Saccharomyces cerevisiae S288C: one gene and its partners. The gene in region 4 interacts genetically with the main gene of each other region. Each region holds a gene or a part of one and is shown on either strand. Other genes may lie near its edges. The genes, in order: HLJ1, DFG16, MSC6 and FMT1.

The links.
Region 1: mutations in FMT1 (region 4) and HLJ1 together harm fitness more than expected from each alone (negative genetic interaction), as found in Saccharomyces cerevisiae (2 studies listed by BioGRID).
Region 2: mutations in FMT1 (region 4) and DFG16 together harm fitness more than expected from each alone (negative genetic interaction), as found in Saccharomyces cerevisiae (2 studies listed by BioGRID).
Region 3: mutations in FMT1 (region 4) and MSC6 together harm fitness more than expected from each alone (negative genetic interaction), as found in Saccharomyces cerevisiae (3 studies listed by BioGRID, with this or other methods).

The regions. Positions count from the first base shown.
Region 1 is NC_001145.3:575,060-579,887, reverse strand, and holds HLJ1 (type I HSP40 co-chaperone HLJ1), read right to left. Parts: upstream 2,171-4,828; coding exon 1,496-2,170; downstream 1-1,495. Other genes in the region: aminophospholipid-translocating P4-type ATPase DNF3, read left to right, coding at 1-937; CVM1 (Cvm1p), read right to left, coding at 2,372-4,822.
Region 2 is NC_001147.6:383,940-389,985, forward strand, and holds DFG16 (Dfg16p), read left to right. Parts: upstream 1-2,885; coding exon 2,886-4,745; downstream 4,746-6,046. Other genes in the region: CIN5 (Cin5p), read right to left, coding at 1-481; YOR029W (uncharacterized protein), read left to right, coding at 661-996; HMS1 (Hms1p), read right to left, coding at 5,832-6,046. UniProt on the Saccharomyces cerevisiae protein: Involved in invasion during filamentous growth.
Region 3 is NC_001147.6:999,774-1,005,743, reverse strand, and holds MSC6 (Msc6p), read left to right. Parts: upstream 1-2,518; coding exon 2,519-4,597; downstream 4,598-5,970. Other genes in the region: GDS1 (Gds1p), read right to left, coding at 1-607; SOG2 (Sog2p), read left to right, coding at 4,916-5,970. UniProt on the Saccharomyces cerevisiae protein: May be involved in the control of meiotic sister-chromatid recombination.
Region 4 is NC_001134.8:200,240-203,761, reverse strand, and holds FMT1 (methionyl-tRNA formyltransferase), read right to left. Parts: upstream 1,707-3,522; coding exon 501-1,706; downstream 1-500. Other genes in the region: bifunctional glycerol-3-phosphate/glycerone-phosphate O-acyltransferase SCT1, read right to left, coding at 1-224; RRN6 (Rrn6p), read left to right, coding at 2,014-3,522. UniProt on the Saccharomyces cerevisiae protein: Formylates methionyl-tRNA in mitochondria and the cytoplasm. Responsible for the formylation of the 8 N-terminally formylated (Nt-formylated) mitochondrial matrix proteins that are encoded by mitochondrial DNA.

The DNA of each region.
Region 1 (4,828 bases), on a different chromosome or scaffold from region 4:
AATGACTCTACTAACAGTCCCTGAATTATATTCGTACGGGCGCCTTTCACAAGGTTTTAATTGGTTAATATTCATGGAGTGGGTTATCTTGGCAACTACGAATTCTCTTATCATTACATTTTTAAATGTTGTAATGTGGGGTATGAGTTCTCTTTCAGATAACACTATGTATCCTCTAGGTCTCATCAATTTCACAGCCATTGTTGCCTTAATTAACGTTAAATCCCAATTTGTTGAAATGCACAATAGGAATTGGCTGGCTTTTACTTCTGTAGTTCTATCCTGTGGAGGTTGGTTAGTGTGGTGTTGTGCCCTTCCTATTTTGAATAATACTGACCAAATATATGATGTAGCATATGGCTTTTACAATCATTTTGGTAAAGACATTACATTCTGGTGTACTAGCTTGGTGTTGGCACTGTTACCTATCACTTTAGATATAGTTTACAAAACATTCAAAGTTATGATATGGCCATCAGATTCTGATATTTTTGCTGAGCTGGAACAAAAAAGTGATATCAGAAAGAAGCTGGAACTAGGAGCCTATAGCGAAATGAGGCAAGGATGGACGTGGGATAAAGATCCCAGTACTTTCACAAGGTACACAGACAAAGTTCTTTCAAGGCCAAGAACTAATTCACGTGCAAGTGCAAAAACTCATAACAGCAGCATATATTCAATGTCAAATGGGAATGTAGACCATTCCTCAAAAAAAAATTTCTTTGGAAACTCTTCTAAAAAGAGCTCTGAACGATACGAGGTATTACCTAGTGGCAAGTTAATCAAGCGACCATCCTTGAAAACACAAAGCAGTAAAGACAGTATTGGCGGCAATATAACTACTAAACTGACGAAGAAACTGAAGCTTCCATCGAGGAATGTGGAAGATGAAGATGTGAACCAGATTATTCAGGCAAGGCTAAAGGATCTGGAGTAATTCTCGTGATCTTGTTTAATTACATTATTGAGAACATTTTTATATATATACCTTTTATTGGAAATTAGTAGCGAGCTTAGAAGACTTACTTGATTTGTTGAGTCGAATATTATTTCGGCATCCACACATTAGAAAATTAACAAGATGTATTTTGAGAGAAAGCAAGGCACAACGCATGGGAAATCTTCACAAATTTTAAATACTATCTATAAACTAACTCTAATTATAAAAGTGGCTTGATTACTTTCGGTGTCAAAAGAAAAAGTAAATGTATGGCGTAAATGCTATGATTAGTTATCAGAAAATAAAGATGTTTATAAGTATTATACTGTCTGATTTAATTTCCTCGATATATTAAAATTCTAATACCATTATGTCCTTCTGGTAAACTGTGGAACAAAATAAAACATAGCCAGGAAGCCTGAAGGAATGACCTAAATGTCATCTAGTATACAAATGCGTTTTTTCAATTTTGCTTGCTCCTTGTAGTTTTATTTTATAGTACAACTTTGACTAACGTTGGAAAATAATAAAAAAATGACAGTAAAAATATTGTGTTTAACTAAACAGGTAATCTTTAATCATAGGAAGAACAATAAAGATGATGAAAAGAACGAGCATATTTTTTAATTGCGAATTCACTGCATTTTCTTCTGCTTGTTGTTGCTGCTGTCTTGAGCGGGGTTGTTGACGCATGAACGGTGAGCCACCACGATTATTAGTATAAACTCTGAAACCACCGGGGCCTCCAAATGAAAAAGTGGAAGCAGAAGGCCCAAATGGTGAAGCGCCGAATGGGCTGCCGCCTGCGTTGAACAAAAAGTCGAATATGTCCTCTGGTGGTCCAGCTCTTTGACCACCGAAACGTGAATTGAAAAACATGTCTTCAAATCCGCCACCCATTGGAGACCCACCTGCACTTCCTCGGAACCCTGAAGCAGCACCTCTGGATGGCATTTGTCTATCGTCAGGATCCCTACCTATCCTGTCATAAATACTGCGCTTTTCCTCATTGCTTAGTACTTCAAATGCCCTATTAATTACTTTGAAAGCTTCTCCCGCTTTTGGATGAGAGTTTTTATCAGGATGCAATTTGATTGCTAGTTTTCTGTATGCCTTCTTGATCTCACTATCTGTGGCTTTCCTATCTACCTTCAAAATTTCGTAAAACTCATGCTTGTCTTTTGACAGTATTTCTAGCGCGATTTTTTCTTGATCCTCAGTGAAAGACATGTTCTTCCTATTATAGACCTTCCACAAGTTATATTGCAGAAACAGCGTTGCTGCTATTATGGCTTCTGGAAGTAGAGGTGTATGAAAAGAACTTCTGCCAGCTTCCTTTATGTTCTTCACGAATACTTTCCAGCCTACTCTGCGGGTTACCCACTATACAAATACCATAATATGTTACGCGGTCCGCTATATACGAATCTACTATGTACGTCGAACATCATTAATCAAGTTTTTGGGGTTGTCATACATGGCTAAAACGCTCAGGATATCACGTAGGTGTTTCAAACCCCTTGTTGGTGGAGACCAATCCTGGTAAGTTCGCCAAATCTCTGTTAATCTTCTCAAAGCTTCCACGGTGTCCCTCTGAAAAACAGGGCCAGAAGTACTCGTGGTACTATCCAAGAAGCAGTTTAATGAGATGGAGAGCCTCAACGCATGTGGTATCTCTCGCTGCGGTAAATTTTTCAATTGAATCAATTTGGAGAAGGAATCATGAATTTTCCATACCAAATCATATTGATTGACAGTATTCAATATGCTTGTAGGAGTGTCGAGGTCGATGTTTAAACGTAAATGCTTACGACTTAATGGGTTTTTCGTGAATATTGTATTGTACAGAAAGCATTTATAGACTTTATCGTCATCATAAATGTCTGAATATATCCTTACGAAATCCGAAGATTTTTCGTTTTGATACTGCACAAACTGCAAAAAATCCTTTACCGTAGAAATATTCTCTGGCAATAATGATTCCGATGATGAACCGAGACTTTCACCCTCCCTTTGGTCGTAATTGAGTTGATGACCATTCATTTTCCACTTACTGTCCATTTCTTGAAGCCAGATTTTGTTGCTGTTCTGGTACTGTTTCCTAATATTTGGAGGCAATGTGTAATCATTAAATGACCTTGAAATAAAAAAAGGACTTAGTAAATTAATTATGGGAATAAATTGTTTATATCCTAAATTCTCCGTTATCATCAAAATATCCCATAAGGTTATTTCGAAAAGTCTGTTGGTGGGAATCTTCAATCTCGATTCAAAATTAGGGGTCCTTACATGGACGTCATTAATGTTACTAGTTGCTTCATCATCGGTATCAAGGTTTAAATTATTAGCATTCTTTAAATCAATGCCCATGTACTTCCCATTGCACCATAAATTTCTCAAGATTTTAGGGTGATTATAATCTATAGCAAGTTTTTCTGAAATTGTCATAAAATTATCATAAAGCTTACCAAAAAATGTCAGTCGAAACGTATCCCAATTGAACAAGAGCCAATCCAATGCATCCTGAACTAGTTTAGATTCACTAGAATCTATCCGCCTATAATTTTTGATTTTAGATAATGTGTCTTGTTGCTTTTTGTCAATGCCCTGAAATAACTGTTTTTCTTTGATTTGTTGGCTCTTCGTTGTGAAATCATTATTTGAATCATGATCATTACTATCATTTTCGTTAGTACTGGAATTGGAACCCAAGTTATTATAACTATTGCTAGTAAAGTCAGTGCTGTGGTCCCAAAATCGATAGCCTTGTAAACATGACTGGAAACTCAATACACTCACTGTAGTGTTTTCATCAAACTCTAGAACTTCATTATTTTGCACGATATATTTCGCTAATAGCAAAGTTAAGGGAACGCTGTGATAAACGCCCACAAAAAAAATTGAATCTACCTCTTTGAAAAGATGAGCCCAGTGGTTCAGTAACTCTACACATTCTTTATATGTAGGTATTAAATCTTGATTATGCAGTGGGCACTGGAACGATAGGGTCAAGACTCTTTGAGGTTGTTCTTGCGCTAGATTTTGTGACAATTTTCTAGAAAGATAATAAGCCGATCTTTGTGATTCTAATGAGCGCTGCTCATACTTTTCTGGTAAATCCCCCACGACGGATATTATAATAATTCTCTTATCCTTCAGTAATGCGGTTTTTTTTTGTCTTAAATAGAGATGTTGCTCATTAGGGAAGTTATAGTAATTTTTGATAGTATTCAATACCTTAGTTCTTAGTGGTTGGACGTGCAGAAAATTCAAAGGGTTATCTGATGGTAGGATTAAAGAATCATTAATAAATACATTATACCCAGGGTTACCTCCCTCCCCAGGATATTTGTTTAATGGCAATGGGCATTTGGCTGATCCTGTACCAGAGACACTGATTATTCCTGGGGTATCTATGGAATCAATTATGTTTGATGAATTTGATATATGTGGAATTGCTTCGTACCAACACCATGATTTCGACTTTTTTGAAATTATATCCTTAGCCTCATTTTCCAAGAAGTTGATTTGTTCAGTGTTTAGTTGAGAGTAGCGGGTATTATCATCAACAACAATTGGGGCACTTCTATATCTGGATGTTGCAAAAGAAGCGATTTTAGACCATATCCCTTTATTGTCATTATTCGAGTTCACGCTATCTTGAAAATCCGTTGTCGGACTACTCCTTCCTTGTCCATTAGGATATTCTGCAATTCTTCCCGTGTTTGGCTCATCGTCGGCAGTGGAATTCCACCAGGGTTTCCATCTGTTTTGTTGTCGTGGACGTTGGGGTGGGACTTCCTGCTGGTCCTCTCGTATCTGCTGCTGCTCTTGTGTTTGATGCTGCAACTGTTTATCCTGTTTCTGCTGCACAACATCCATTATAAT
Region 2 (6,046 bases), on a different chromosome or scaffold from region 4:
ATGCAGTGGTGTATGGATTAGAATTGAAGTGACAGTTTAAATGAGTATCTGATAGTTGCGGTCTAAGCTGGTATGTGTTCAGTCTTGGTAAAGACGGAGGAATCAAATTGTTTATTGTCACCGGCCTTGCAATATGTGGGCCCGCAGTATTTGGAACATCCTCACACAATGCTCCTATATTAACAGAATTTCTTCTTCCAGAAAGATCTGTAAGTGAGCCAGTTCTGCTCTCATAACCAGGCTCTTCAAGTGTTGCAATCTTTGGGAGCTGAATTTGCGGTAGAGTCACATTCGAAGCAACTACCGAAATTGTATGCAAATCAGCCTTGTTCTCCTCTTTAATAAACCCTACAGGAGGGCTTGGCACGAAAGCGGTATCCGTCATTTTTTTTGGCTTTGTACTGTCTCTTGTCATTGAATGGGAAGCTAAAATAGGTTGAAAATTAAAAGGATGATTGTCCATTTTTATTTGCATTAACATTTGAGTAGGTTTTTGGTTTTCCTTCTTGTTCCAAGCTGTTATTCTATATCTATGATGAGATTAACGGCTGCAAAAAGTCGTAGTTAATCAGTAAAATTATCTAATGAATTATTTGTAAGCAGAATGCGTGAGAAAAAATAAATCACCCAGTTCCTTTTTTATATACATGAACTTTGGTAATGATGCAGACATCAACTAGTTCTCGAGTGAGGAGGTATCCTTATCAAATCACTCTCTCCCTAGTATTGAAAGGGTTTTACTCGCCTTCTGCTCCTAGTTACGATTTTTGCCTAGTACTCCTTCCTACCCTCTTCCTCATAGATTTAATGCCAATAAAATTTTCTTTGCATGTCACCATTGGGATCGGTGAGGCAACTCCGGTTCCGATTTTTTTTTTTTCAGCGCCGTGGTATTTCCGCTCGGGAAATCCCCTCCCGCATTGCGTCAGAGCTTATCGATGTAAAGTTAATTTCCCTTTTTTTCGGTTGGGCTGGAGCACTTGGTTGCATTACTAACAAATTAACGAACAATAGTTTTAAAAGCAAGTGCCTTAAGATTTAGGTCATTCCTTCGAGGATTTCTGGGAACAATTTAAAGAATAACAGAAACTTTTGCGGCCCTTTTCATCATCTACGTGTTTTGTAAGAATGAGATCACATTCCACGTAGCCCTAAACATTGGCGTACATTTCCACTCGGAACCTTTTCTCGACCCCTCTCCGTACGCCAAGTTTTACCTTGAGGAGTAAGTCGTCAAAGGGGCGTGGGGCAGCCATTTCTTAGGAGGTGGGAAGACATGGCAGTGAGTGGGCCCTATGATTGCTGCTGCAGGGGACTTTTCAGGATAATCATGTAAACGATAAAACGGAAAAACAAAACTACGGACGTTGTTACCTTTCCATTTTGAAATGTTTCTCCGAAAAAATACCATTTTGCACAGTTCAACATTCTTGATGGCAAAAGCGAAGCATTGCGTCAACGGGTTAGATAAGTCATTTACTGTCAATTAGTACCAATACCTGTCTTTGCTCACCGAATGGCACTATACAGTGACGTTAAGATCTTGTAGTTGTTTTTCAAGAAGGCACTAAATAAGGTAATATATGGTGCCTTTCGCAATGACTCGTGTATCTGGCAGATCTATAGCTGCACACCTGATTTTTTTGCTATATTTGAATCAGGAGTAAGTTTGAACCATAATCATTCCAATTCAGTTTGATAGTACCTTTTTTTTAAAATTTTTGAAAGAGCTATCGCTTAGCTATCGGCGGGCATATTGAATTGCGCAGTAGATGAACATTTCACTAGTTGTGGCCAAAGAAGTTAGTTAAAAAGTGTAAATATGTCACAGTACTTATCCTTCTCTAAAGAATTAGTTTATTAAAAGCAGCAACAAGAAGAATGACTGTCAACCATTTTTAGGTCATTGCAACAAATCTCAAAATACGCTTTTATAGATAATCTAAGAAGATCGTTATATGGGAATACTAACAGTGAGAAAATGGAAGAAACGGGTTAGCGTAGAAAATTGTAATTAAAAAACAACAGTTTTAAGAAGGTGGTGGGCAATTAATACTTGAGGATTAATACTTAGAGCTTATTCAAAAAGAAAAGATAGAATTTCATGTAATACATGAGAACAATGTAAGGTTTTTAAGGTAACGAGTAACTAAGTTTTGAAATATCTTCACTAGCCTTGCAATCATCTTTTAGCTTTTCTATTTGCCGGATTCTTTACAACATAATCACGCTTTCTTCTAGTTGTAATTTTCCTTCTAGATGTCATTATTTCAACCGATGTCATTAATATCCTTTTATGGTGTTTACAAAAAGAAAGTTTCAAGTACCGCTCACCTACACTACGTTGTAATTCTTAGATACATAACTTTAGTTTTGTCGCCTATGTGCACAGATAAACAAAACAACCTATAAAATTTCCGTTGGGCCCTTTTGTCCCTGATTTCTGGTGTGTAACCCATTTATTTCTGTCCTGTAATAATTCGTCTTCGGTGATTGCCATATATACACAGTTTAGCTTTACTAACTATAAACATCCGAGAAGAAGAAAAAAGAAGGTCTGATTTCTATCAAACAACATGTGAAGATAACACAATCGATGTGATTGATATCAGATTTACTAGCCCCGTTGGATTGAAAAATCTGCAAGGAAGGGCTAAAGAGCAATATACTTTCTTTTGTTGTTTCGGGGTGATGAGAAAATTGTAACTTTTTTTTTTAACTTGGCGAGAAAATTGACTGGAAGAAGTGTCAAAGATAAGGCTTCTATCATATTCAAAACAAGTACCACCAAATGGCAGCTCAACTCCGAAGGCTCAAAAACAATACTTATTGATATTGCACTCACAAGCATTTTTTGTTGCGGAACGTCTTTACGTGCAAGATTAATGATCATAAGATTGCATTTTTACTACCTCCTCACTTTAGTTTACCATTTAGGACTTGTAGGTGCGTATGAAAAAGCAGCAAGAAAGAGAATTCAACCTCCCGATTTGATACCTGGTCCTCCGGGACATAAACTTGGTGATGAAAGACCACCGCATTACGACCACCGGCCACCTTATAAAAAACACATCGACAACATTCCAGCTTACAATCTGACTGATTTGATAGATGATAAACTACTAAATAAATATGAAAACTCATGCACGGTAAATGTATTGACAGGTGGCTTCATCTCTCTAGCAAGTAATTCGTGGCACTTACGTGCTTATAATTACACTTTAAATTACCCATCCTTTTTGATCCGATGCGATAATGGCAGTGCAAATCCTAATTTCTCTCATGTCTTACAAGACTTTGTTTATGACATCAACAACAAATTCAACGTTCAAGATGACAGTAGTAAATACATCGGAAAAGACCCATTTCCCTTAGGAATGATAATGATCACCTTTGCTTCTGGGTGTATCTGTGTGGCAACATGGATGCTATTTTTGGTTGTCTTATTACTGCCATCCGATAATCATAATAGAAGAAATAAAGTTGTACATGTTTACGTCCTTTTCTCTGCGATTATAAGAACTGTATTTCTAAACGAGACTATAGCCGTCATATTTGACAGCCAATATCACGATGACTACCAGGATGCGAGCCAATTTGAATCGTTCATCGTAGAAACTGCACCATATAAAATATGTGAATTAGTTGCAAATATTTTGAGTGATATAAACTGGATTTATATTGTTCACTACTTACAGTCCAATTATGGAAAACCAACTTGGAATTGGATCCCATTTAAAATGAAAAAGGGGACACATATCATAATTACCGTGGGTTGCTTCCTCTCACTAGCCGATAACATTTTATTCGCAAACCTTCTTTGGAGAAAGAACCTTGTAGTTTTGAAGGTATTTTACAAGCTAATCGAATTACTGATTTACACAATTTTCATCTCCATTATTTGTTACTTCACATGGCATAATTTTGCTTACATACTTTTACCGAAAACTGCTGAAATTAATACGGACGGTAAGTGTAAAACGAAATTGAGAATTCTTTGGGAAAATTATCACGAAACTATACCATTATTGGCGTATAATATTCTTATATTTATTTTATTCTATTTCACCACAATTTTTTTCGCTGCTTTCACCAAACATGTTAGAGGTTGGACATTTAACTTTGTTCATCTTTTGAAAGTTTTAATAACAGTGAACGTTTGGGGCTTAATTGGAGTATTGGAAAAGAGGGAGCTGCACATAAGCAAAAAAACAGTCCTTGGACGAAAAATTAACAATAGGGACAAATTTTTCGCCAATCCAACAGTCAATTATTACGGAGAAGATTTAGGCAAGCATTTAAGCGCCATAACGTTAAACAGGGATTTAAACACTACTAAAAGTAACACTACTTCCCACGATTCATCAAGTTTAGTAGGATCCCCTTCACCCACCTGGAAATCTCCAATCGAAAGAATAAGGGACAGAAGAAGAAGACATAAGATAATGAAAAGTGAGAATAAATTTGGGCAAAATCCCAGTTTTGGAAGTAAATCGAATGGCAAACCTAATACTAAAACGACATTATCCAAATATCGACAGCTATTAAGGAAGCCTAGGCGAAAAACCAATTCATATGAACCAAAAAATGGCATTGGACAGAATAAAGAAGGCTCAACTGTTAGACCAGGAGCCGACAAACATATTAGAGATTCCAATTATCTAGCTACAGACATCAGTGACAACGAAAGTATGGAAACCGAACTTCGAACCAACCACATTTATAATTACGAAAATAGTGATTAAGGCAGGCCCAGTGGACGAAAAGACATAACTGCAGAAGTACAGCTGCCTTTATTTCTTGTGGTCATTTATTGCTTTTATTTTCAAGTCAGATATACAAGAAAATCAAATCCCATCGTCAACGTCACGTATAAACGATTAATTTACAGTAATACCATACTCTACCAACATTATTTTAGTCCGACGTTCAGTCCTGTAGGTGTTCCAAATCCTTCTGGCATTGACTTCTGTGCAGAAACCCTTCAAAATGAGTTCCACTTTACGTCAGATCGCATAACAACCGGTCATATATTTTTTTCTTTTGCTAAACCCCCTACTGCAAGCACTTTTAAGAAAAAGAACAATAAATGCGTCTTTATTGCTGTGTGGAAGTGATTTTTGTCTTTCGGACAAAAAAAGGATAGGGATGCGAGAGGGCTGTGAAGTAGTGATCAAGCGGGGCCTATATAAGAAGGGCGCACATCGTCCCCCCTAAGAATAGCGAAGCGATATTACACTGAACACTACAATGTCAAATAGTACTCAATAAATATGACTGTAAAAATATGTGACTGTTAAGGCGAATGTTGTAAGGACTCTTGTCATTGTGGGAGCACCTGCCTTCCAAGCTGTTCTGGCGGTGAAAAGTGCAAATGTGATCACAGCACCGGAAGCCCTCAATGTAAGAGTTGTGGTGAAAAATGCAAATGCGAAACCACGTGCACTTGTGAAAAGAGTAAATGCAATTGTGAAAAATGTTAGGTGACCCCTACTCTTTACTTATCATAAATACATCATCATATTTTACCCTTAATTAACAACATTTATTTAACTGCATGAACTAAATATAAGGTATAGTTTCTTTTTCCCGGAATCTTTTTTTTAGATCGTTATTATTTAGACGGCACTAAGAGAAATAAATTAAACTAAATTACGGTGCGGAGCTCAAGGCATCTGCGAGTGTTTACTAACACTAAAAGAGATGAATAAAATAGATTTCTCAATGCAAAATTAAAATTACAATGTTACGCATACACACAAGTACAGATTTGTATATAGTATTTCTTCTTCGTTTTATCTGTCGTGTTGAAACATTTTGTTGTTCAAGTATTAAAAGTCTCCTGCGTTGTTAAAATCCATATCATGTGAATTGTTGGTGCCGCTCATGAGGCCGTTTTGATGTGGAATATTATATTGAATGTTATGCAATGGTTGTTGTTGTCGTGGCTGCCGCTGCCGTTGGCGTTGGCAGCTTCTGGTTTGCTTTTGTACTTGTTCACTACTACTGTTGTCACTCAACGGTTGAGATGGCTCGGTAAGATGGA
Region 3 (5,970 bases), on a different chromosome or scaffold from region 4:
CTCTGTATATATAGAGCATCCTTCTAGGAGATGAATTAGACCATTCCCTTGATAAAGCATAAGTTAACGTTTTCTCACCTTTTTCAATTTTTTTAACATAAGCGTTCAGTTTTGCGGAAATTAAATTTGACAACTTGGTTGATAAATTGGACATATCTGGATGTTTTTGCAAAAGCAAGTCACACAGTTGTTTGACGGTCATGCCTTGTTGATTCGGATCCATTTCCCATAATATTAAAAAAACTGCGTGAAGAACGTCATCATCCAGAGGGGAGTCTCTATTTTCGGGTTTTGGCCTCTCACCAGTAACAGGTATTAGCTTAGAAATTTCTAATAATGGATTGTCTTTTTTGGGAGCACCAAAGTCCTTCTTAGGTTTGGTAGCTTTTATTTCCTGAGATGAGGAAAACGAAGAACCGGCCAAATTATTATCATCAAGGGCCATGCCTGGCTGGTTGCCGATAAGATCCGTGCCTGGATTCGAAATAGTGTCAGCTCTAGTTGTAAATCCCATTGAATTCAACTGAAATACTGGAGAATTTGAGTTATGAAGAATTTCATTCTCTAAAGTTGGTATTTGCAAAGGTCTGGAATTTGCCAATGCCATTATAAGTTCTTCTAATCAATTTTTTTATATGGTTTTTTGTCTTTTTTCGTATTTTTTTGTCCTTTTCTAAAATACTATAGCAAAGCAAAAAAAAAAGTAAAAAAAATTTGATTTATGAAAAGTTGAAATATCCTGGAAAAATTAGTTAAAACCTCCCAATATTTCTGTAGTTATTGATTGATTGCCCGTTTATTTTCTATTTTGCTGATATTGTTTCTGCTAACGTTTCTTTATATAATCCCGCTTGCTGACACAGAAGTGACTAAAATAGGGTAAAAAGGGAAATTATTACGAAAAGGGCAGTCCAAAGCAAATAAAAAACAATGGAATAGAAAATAAAAAAAATTAAAACTCAAAATAAAATGTATTCCAATGTAAAGGAAAAAATAAAATAATAGGAAAAAAGAAACTATTATTTTAAAGCCTTCAATAATGGAATGCTGAAAAGAAAAGTTATGATTTTGGTAATTTGAGTCAAATAGTCAATCAATGACTTTTTGTTTTTGGTTTTTCAGAAATAGAAATTACCAAGAACCTTAATTGATAAAAAAAAGGGGAGCTTGAAGGGAATACTGATAATACAAACAATATCGTGTAAAAAAAACCTACGTAAAAAATTAAATCAAGCCAAGCGAGAACAGAAAAAAAAAATGAAGTAAAATATTGGACTGGAATATGAAAATTTTAGAAAAAGAACTAGCCGGGATAAAAGTACAAGAAAAGGAGAAGAAGAAAAATTTTTGACTTCTCATCGCATGGGTTTTCAGAAAATTTTCTTATCAAAAATTTCATCGGGCGTATGATTTTCGTTTTTTTCTGCGTCGTTCCTTCACAAAGTATCGAAAACCCCAAACAAAAAAAATATAAAAAAAAAAAAACACCCTTGCACCCATAACATACGGCGAGATGTAAGGTAGGTATAGCAGACTTAGATATTGCGTGCGAATCAGTTTGATTCGCAAGTAAAATCTTCATGCGCATTAGTATAGAGCGTTGGAAGCAGTTAACATAGTATTTCGGTTTTTTTTCCCTTTCATAAAAAGGATTCTTCTTCCATAATCCCTTGCGTGAGTTGAATATGAATGAAACTCGTTGAACTAGTGAACAACAAGTGATTGTATGCTCATATTTAGTACTAACATTTCAGCATTGTATAATCCTTTCTTTACTTTCAGGATAAAGACATACATTCTACGTATGATCAAGAGTAAGGAACAAGAATATTAAAAAAAACGAGATGAACCTTGAGTATATATATATATATTTACACCAATGTGCCCTACGAAAATAGTGAAAAAAAAATTTCAGTTGCAACCGCGTTTTGTCCGTTAGTATCTTTTGTCCGTACACCTCGTACTAAAAAAGAAAACCAGTCCAAAAAGAAAGTCAAACGGTCCAAATCGGAAACACCGACGCTCAGCTTAATAAACATTGTGTAGAGCCAAGCGGAAAAGAATACCATTTAGCCGCCGATGCAGAAAACCGGTATATAGAGCTGAAAACAAAGATTGAACTCTCCAGACAAGTTAGAAGTAAAAGCAAGTAATATATAAGTTTTATAAGTGAATATTCGGTCGAAGGTAGTGTCAAAGTTACATCACCAAAACTACTTACTATTGAGGAAATATCAGGTGTGCCAATACGTTAATTGATCTGTGAATAAAAAACGAAGTTGGAACATTGTATTACCTTTCAAATATGCCATAAAAGGTTGCTCGTCGACTAAGTAATTAATCGATTATAAGAGGGAAAAAGCGGGGTAAGTAAAATGTAATATCATCATATACGATATACATACCGCCTGTGGAATCGTTCAATTGCTACACATGTCTAACTAAGGACGTACTGTCTATATGTTTGCTTAAGTTGGCTCTGCACAAAATAATATCAGAGCCTTCCACTGGGATACAGATGCTTTCCCATAATGCTTTAAGGGCCTTTGATTGTTCAAAGGTGATTATTTCACGAAGATGTCTAACCTCTTCAACATCGATATACCAACAAAGCAGCGTTCACTTACAAGAAACAGATGATGGACATTCAGGAAATAGAGAAAAGCACGTCTCACCGTTTGAAAGGGTACAAAATTTGGCTGCTGATTTGAAGAACGAGTTGAAAGCTCCAGATTCAGATATCAATGAAGTTTTTAATGACTTTAAAGATAAGATTGAATCGTTGAAACAGAAATTAAGGAACCCTTCACCTATGGAAAGATCACACTTGTTAGCGAATTTTTCTTCGGATCTCCTACAGGAATTAAGTTACAGAAGCAAAAATATGACGCTAGATCCTTATCAAGTATTAAACACATTGTGCCAATACAAATTGGCACGCTCACAACATTTCACGATTGTTTTAAAGTACCTTCTATATAATCAATCACCACAGGACGTTATTGCCTTATGGGTGAAGTACTTGGAAACCATTTCCGAAAACCCAGTGATCTTACTTCAAAATAGTTCTTCTCGTGCACATATGCAAAATATTGCAATTACCACCATTGCTTACTTATCTTTACCAGAGAATACTGTGGATATCAATATTCTGTATAAGATTTTACAGATCGATCGTAAAATGGGCCAGGTTTTACCTTTTAACATGATTAGAAGAATGTTAAGTACAGAATTTAGCTCTCTTGAAAGAAGAGACGTGATTATCAAAAATCTAAACACTTTGTACTATCAATACACAGTACAGGATAGTGATCATTTCTTAAGTCAAATTGAAAATGCTCCTAGATGGATAGATTTAAGGGATCTTTATGGCCAATACAATAAACTTGAAGGTGAGAAAAATGTAGAGATCATAAGCAAGTTCATGGACAAGTTTATTGATTTGGATAAACCCGACCAAGTTGTTACTATTTATAACCAGTATAGCAAGGTTTTCCCAAATAGTACGTCGCTGAAAGATTGTCTTTTAAGAGCTGTGTCGCACTTACGAGCTAAATCGAGTAAAGAGAAGTTGGACAGAATTCTAGCAGTCTGGAACAGTGTTATCAAACCAGGAGATAATATTAAAAACACATCTTATGCGACGCTAGTTAACGCACTAACTGATTCTGGAAATTTCAACCATTTAAAGGAATTTTGGGAAGAAGAACTTCCTAAAAAGTTCAAGAAAGATCCCATCGTGAAGGAAGCATTTCTCCTGGCCTTATGTCAAACTTCGCCTCTAAAGTATGACCAAGTCAAAGGGGAGTTAGCAGAGACTGTTAAAACCAAGAAGTTGTTCAATAAAGTTTTATTGCTAATGTTAGATGATGAAAAAGTGAGCGAAGAACAATTCAACACATTTTACTATAACCATTATCCATCAGATGGTGTGTTACCCCCTACTTTGGATACTCTAAGCATTAAAATGTACGCTAATTATAAATTTCAGGCAGAAGATACACGCCCACAATTCGATCTATTGCAAAGTGTTTCCATTAATCCCACCGATTATGAAAAGGTTGAAAAGATTACGAAAGCCTTTATTTCAGTGTGCCCCACTGTCGAGCCGATTCGTCAACTTTACAAACAATTGGGAACTCACTTAAATGCTAGGAATTATGCAGACTTTATTTCCGCAGAGTTTAATAAGCCTGACGGCACAGTGGCCGAGGCAAAGAATTTGTTTTCTGATTTTCTCTCATATCAAAAGACTAGAAAGAGAAACGTGGATAATACGCCTCTAAATGCTTTATTATTGGGGTTCTGTGATAAACTTTACAAGAGTAAACATAGCGAGTACGTTCCCTACATCGAAAAGTACTACAATCTAGCTAAGGATTCAAGTATCAGGGTGTCGAACTTGGCCGTTTCGAAAATTCTATTCAACTTGGCCACATTTGCACGCAATACTCAGCAGTTATCTGACAAAGAGGTTGCTTTTATTAACCAGTTTATGCGAGATTTAGGCACTAATGAGGGTTTTCGTCCCAACCCTAAGGATATTCAAATTTTAAAAGAATGTGATGGAATTACTGTTCCAGAAAAGTTGACTTAATACACTTGTCATAAGAAGACAATAAGAAAAGCTCAGAACCAATTTTCTGCACATATGATGCTGTAACTATATAATGATTTCTTGTATATAACTTCCGTATAATAGTTATTGCTTCCATGCATGATTCTTTCAAAGAACAATACAAAATAAAAATAAAAAAAAAAAAAAAAAATGAAAAAATGAAGCTACAAGTCGGGTAACAAAAAGTATTTCAAGATCTCTAAATATAAGTGGGCAAATAAAGTTAATGCCAAAACTCCATGCTACTTTTCACCTGAACTTATTGGGGGGAGTTAAGTCTATAAGTATCCGTAACGTATGGTAGCGACATCTTCAAAGAGGACGTTGGATCCGAAGGAGGAACATTTGCCTGCTGACAAAACATCCACTAATTCAAGCAACACTATAATATCTGAGTTGGCAACACAAGAGAAATCCAGCTCTAGTGGTACTACACTAAAATTAATAGCTCTTAATATCAAGTCCATATCAGATGAAGATGTGGGATATATCCAAAATGTTGAAAGACTGTCTTTAAGGAAAAATCACTTAACATCCTTACCAGCGAGTTTCAAGAGGTTATCAAGGCTGCAATATCTGGATTTGCATAATAACAATTTTAAAGAAATCCCATATATTTTGACACAATGCCCTCAATTAGAGATCTTGGATCTGTCCTCCAATGAGATTGAAGCATTGCCAGATGAAATATCATCGTTTTGGCAAGATAATATTCGTGTATTATCATTGAAAGACAACAACGTTACTAGCATACGTAATTTGAAATCGATCACAAAATTAAACAAGCTGAGCATCTTGGATTTAGAGGATAATAAAATACCCAAAGAAGAGCTTGACCAAGTACAGAGTTATACTCCATTTCATACGGGCATCCCCAAAGAAGAATATTGGGCAATTGCGATATCACGATATCTAAAAGATCATCCTAACCTACCTACTCCAGAACCTAAAATATCTAGAGCAGCGAAAAGAATGGGATTCATAAATACGAACTTGTCTAATGGAGCAATGAATGAAAACAATATAATTTCACTTGCCCCAAGTGCAAATACAACTATAAGTGCATCTACTGCAATGGTCTCATCTAATCAAACCTCTGCAACATCTTTCAGTGGTACAGTCAATGCAGAATCAGAACAAAGTGGGGCAGTGAATGGTACGGAACTATACAATCACACCAAATATAATGACTACTTCAAGAGGTTGTCGATTTTACCAGAAGAGTCAATGAGTAACGGGCATCAAAAAATATCGCATGCAGAGTTGGTTGTTTCCTGTCGGAAGCTCCTATTTAGTTTTACAGAATGCCAACAAGCTATCAGAAAAATCGCCTCTTTCTGTAAAGAGAAGGC
Region 4 (3,522 bases):
AAACTGCCCCGGCCTCTGATTTCTCTAAAGAAGCAGTGGAAGATGTTGTACAACAGCCATGTGGCGATGGAGTAAAGTATCTTCTTGGTAGCGCTAGGCTCTTGGTAGATGTATGCCTGATCAGCCGACGTCTTGACGCTTTTGGCCTCGATGGAACTGTAATTCGTAGTTTTCTGTGTGCTCTTGGAAGAGGCAAATTTCTCCGTGAGTTTTGGTGCAGGCATTTTTTTTTACCCCGATGTAAACGCCCCTGTGCTCTTTTTACTATATATTTAATTCCGGGCTTCCTACACTTAATTCACTCTGTTATGAACTACAAGCCATTACTAACATCAATCTTTCCGAATCATAAATAAACTGCAACTGGGAAAGAAGGCGGGCCTACTTTTCTTTTTCTTCATAGCGCGTAGGGCTTGGCAGCCATAGTTGTTGAGAGACCGATGGATGAGGGATTGAAAGAAGGGAGAAGAAGAATACTAAAAGAGGAATGTAGAGCCGGGTTACAGGAAAACTAACTTTTCACTCAGGGCGCCGCATCTTTTCCGCAGGCGCGCCATGAACTGGCCAGCACGTTCTACGGCGAAACCTTCGAACTGGAGGCGGCTCACACATAGTAGTAAGTTGCCGCGACAGGTGACCAAAATACAGTCTTTAATATCATCATATTTGAACATGCCCGGTTTACTGCCATTATCTAGACGTGCGTCTCTCATCACTTTACACTCATGAAACAATATTCGTTTTAATACTGAATTTTGAGCGTCCTTTCTTGCCGCTGTCGCTTCTTTGAACGCGTGCAGAGGACCGAGCGTTTCGAGTTTGTTAAGTAGTTCGGCGGCAGAATCGCGCGCCCAATGAATGCGTTTATCTTCTGTTGTTATACGGTGGGCGTAACTGGGTTTGTAAGCTGTTGGCGCTTGCACACGGTTCTGTGGTAGATATAACCTCTCACGAAGCGTTTGGCCCAAAAGTTGGGCGCCAAGGGCGCCCAACTGGTCCATCAGTATGGCAGTCCTCCGAGGCAGGCCCTCAGAATTAAAATCTGCCGTCGAATCATTGACTCTCCCTTTTGACAGCATTGTTGCGATCGCCAGTGGCTCCGTCTGCGCTACAATTGCACCATGGTCAAACCGATCCGGATGCAGTGTCTGTATAGTTACACCGGTGTAAGTGTCACCCTCGAGCAGAGCTCGCTGGATAGGTGCACTGCCTTTATGTCTGGGAAGTAGCGAAGGATGGACGTTTAGCGCCAATGGCACCGCGCGGATCAAGTCACCCGGAATGAGCTTCCCAAAAGAAACCGCAATGATCGCGTTGAACGGAGCACCGGAGCCGTCGTTCTCCGGATTTCCTTGGCGACTGGGTGTCAGTTTGCTTAGCGCCAACATTTCCTGCTTGGTGTCGCATGTAATTGGGCGTGGCAATTGAAGCTTCTCTGCCATATCGAAGATCGGCGGGTATTTCAAAATAGACTTCTGTCTACCGCACCACTTCGGCGACCTAGTTACTACTTGAATATTGTCCACTATACCACAGCTTCCATTATTTTGACGCAACTCATTGAGTGCTTGCAATGAGAAATTACTGAAAGTGTCGCTACCAAAGAAAAGCACATTCAAGGGCTGCACTGGTGGAGAAGCATTGTTTGAAATATATCTGCATGTGAATAGGAGGCGTGTAGGTGTTATTCTTCTCATTTTAACCATTTGTTTGATACGCCGTTTTCAATCTTCTCACTATGAGGTGCCTAGGTCCCCTTCCTTTTTTTTCTTACCTCTCTTTTTACGTTAATGAGAAAAGCGCTTACTCCTCTCCATAATAGCAGGTACAGCTTTTTTTGCTTTTTTCTTAATGGACGCTTCTTCCATTTGATATAAATATGGGTTACCCTGTGGGCATACGATAATTTTTATTCTCTCGATTAAGAAACCGAGATGAGCTTTCATATTAGTTTGGTAATGATATTGATGTGGCAAGTTGAAGTAAAGAGAGAAGGCGTTCTATGGGCTGAGCATGAGTGAGGGACAAATTCCAAGCTCAGATGTGTTAGGCTCGCAATTGGGTGTTGGTGTACAAGGCGCCAGTCTTTACTGTCCGCAAGAAAATTACACTACGAAGAAGCAAGAAAAGCCACAATGGCTAAGACCAGTAGATGATACATTGGCCGAGGATGCACTAGACCTTCATATAGTGGTCAAAAGTCTGCTTTGTGATACTGCCATAAGATATATTTCCGACGACAAGGTTTTGCAAGAATCAGATGCCGACGATGATCTCATAACTAGCGATATTGATGAAGATACGGACAATCAGGGGGATACATCTATAGTGGTCAATCCAGTGATACCCGTGGTACCGAAAGATGTCCATTTTTTTAAGAAAGTTGACGTTGGTAATGATTCTATGTTTGGTGTGAACTGCGATACGCCAGTTTCATTTCAAGATTACATTCCTTCAGATTTGCTGCGCAACTTAGATGATACATTACAAGAAAGTACTAACTCTTCGAGGCCGATGCAAGACGCCTTCTTTTGGGATCCTACTGTGGCTAATCGACTGGACTCTCAATATATTCAGACAGCATCAGATTTAAGAAATTATAGAGACGGAACCGAAATCATAGCATATGCCTCGGGTAAAACAGGCTCAGTCCTAAATATAGCAGTTCTGACACGACAAAATACATTGCATTTAAACCGACATAACAATGTAACGAGTATCGAATTGCATTCACCTATCAAGAGTATTAAGATACCGGGGGCCTCTGAGTCCATCGGGCGGAGATCAAACCTGGTGGGCATAATCACCGAAAATTCTTTCCAAATCTTTAGAATTGAAAGTGTCCACTCAAGATCATGTGATGTCATGGTTAGTAGTTCAGAACCACTGTATTTTGTTGAAATAGACGACCTTCAGGTGGTAGATTTTGCATTCAATCCTTGGGACTTACAACAATTCGCAATCATTGATATAAAAGGTAACTGGAGTATCGGGAGGATACCAAAGAATTTCAATAATAATAACAAAAGGAAACTACAGTTAATAGATAACCTCCACGGTACGATTTTTGATCCAGAAGAATTATCGTCATGGAAAAGAATAGAATGGTTTTCACACTTCCAAAAAATACTGGTCTTTGATAGGTCCAAAATGATTGAGATCGACTTTATGAACAATTGGCAAACGGAAGTAGTACAAGCGAAAGCATGGTCAAACATACGTGATTATAAGCGGATAGATGATAAAAATGGTATTTTACTCACTTCAAGGGAAATAATCATCGTAGGGGCATCAGAATCAAATGATCCAGTGAGAAGAATATCTTGGAAACACGATCTGGATCCAGATGATACTACGCTCAGAATCACTGTACAAAAGGTTAAAAAGCCTGACCATATTCTTCTGGTGGCCTTTGTATATTCGATGCGGCATAAACGCATCTATATGCATGTATTTTCCCATAGGAAAGCAAACTTGTTTCAATCCTTAGGATGCTCAACAGTTCTTGAAATTCCGGGTGGG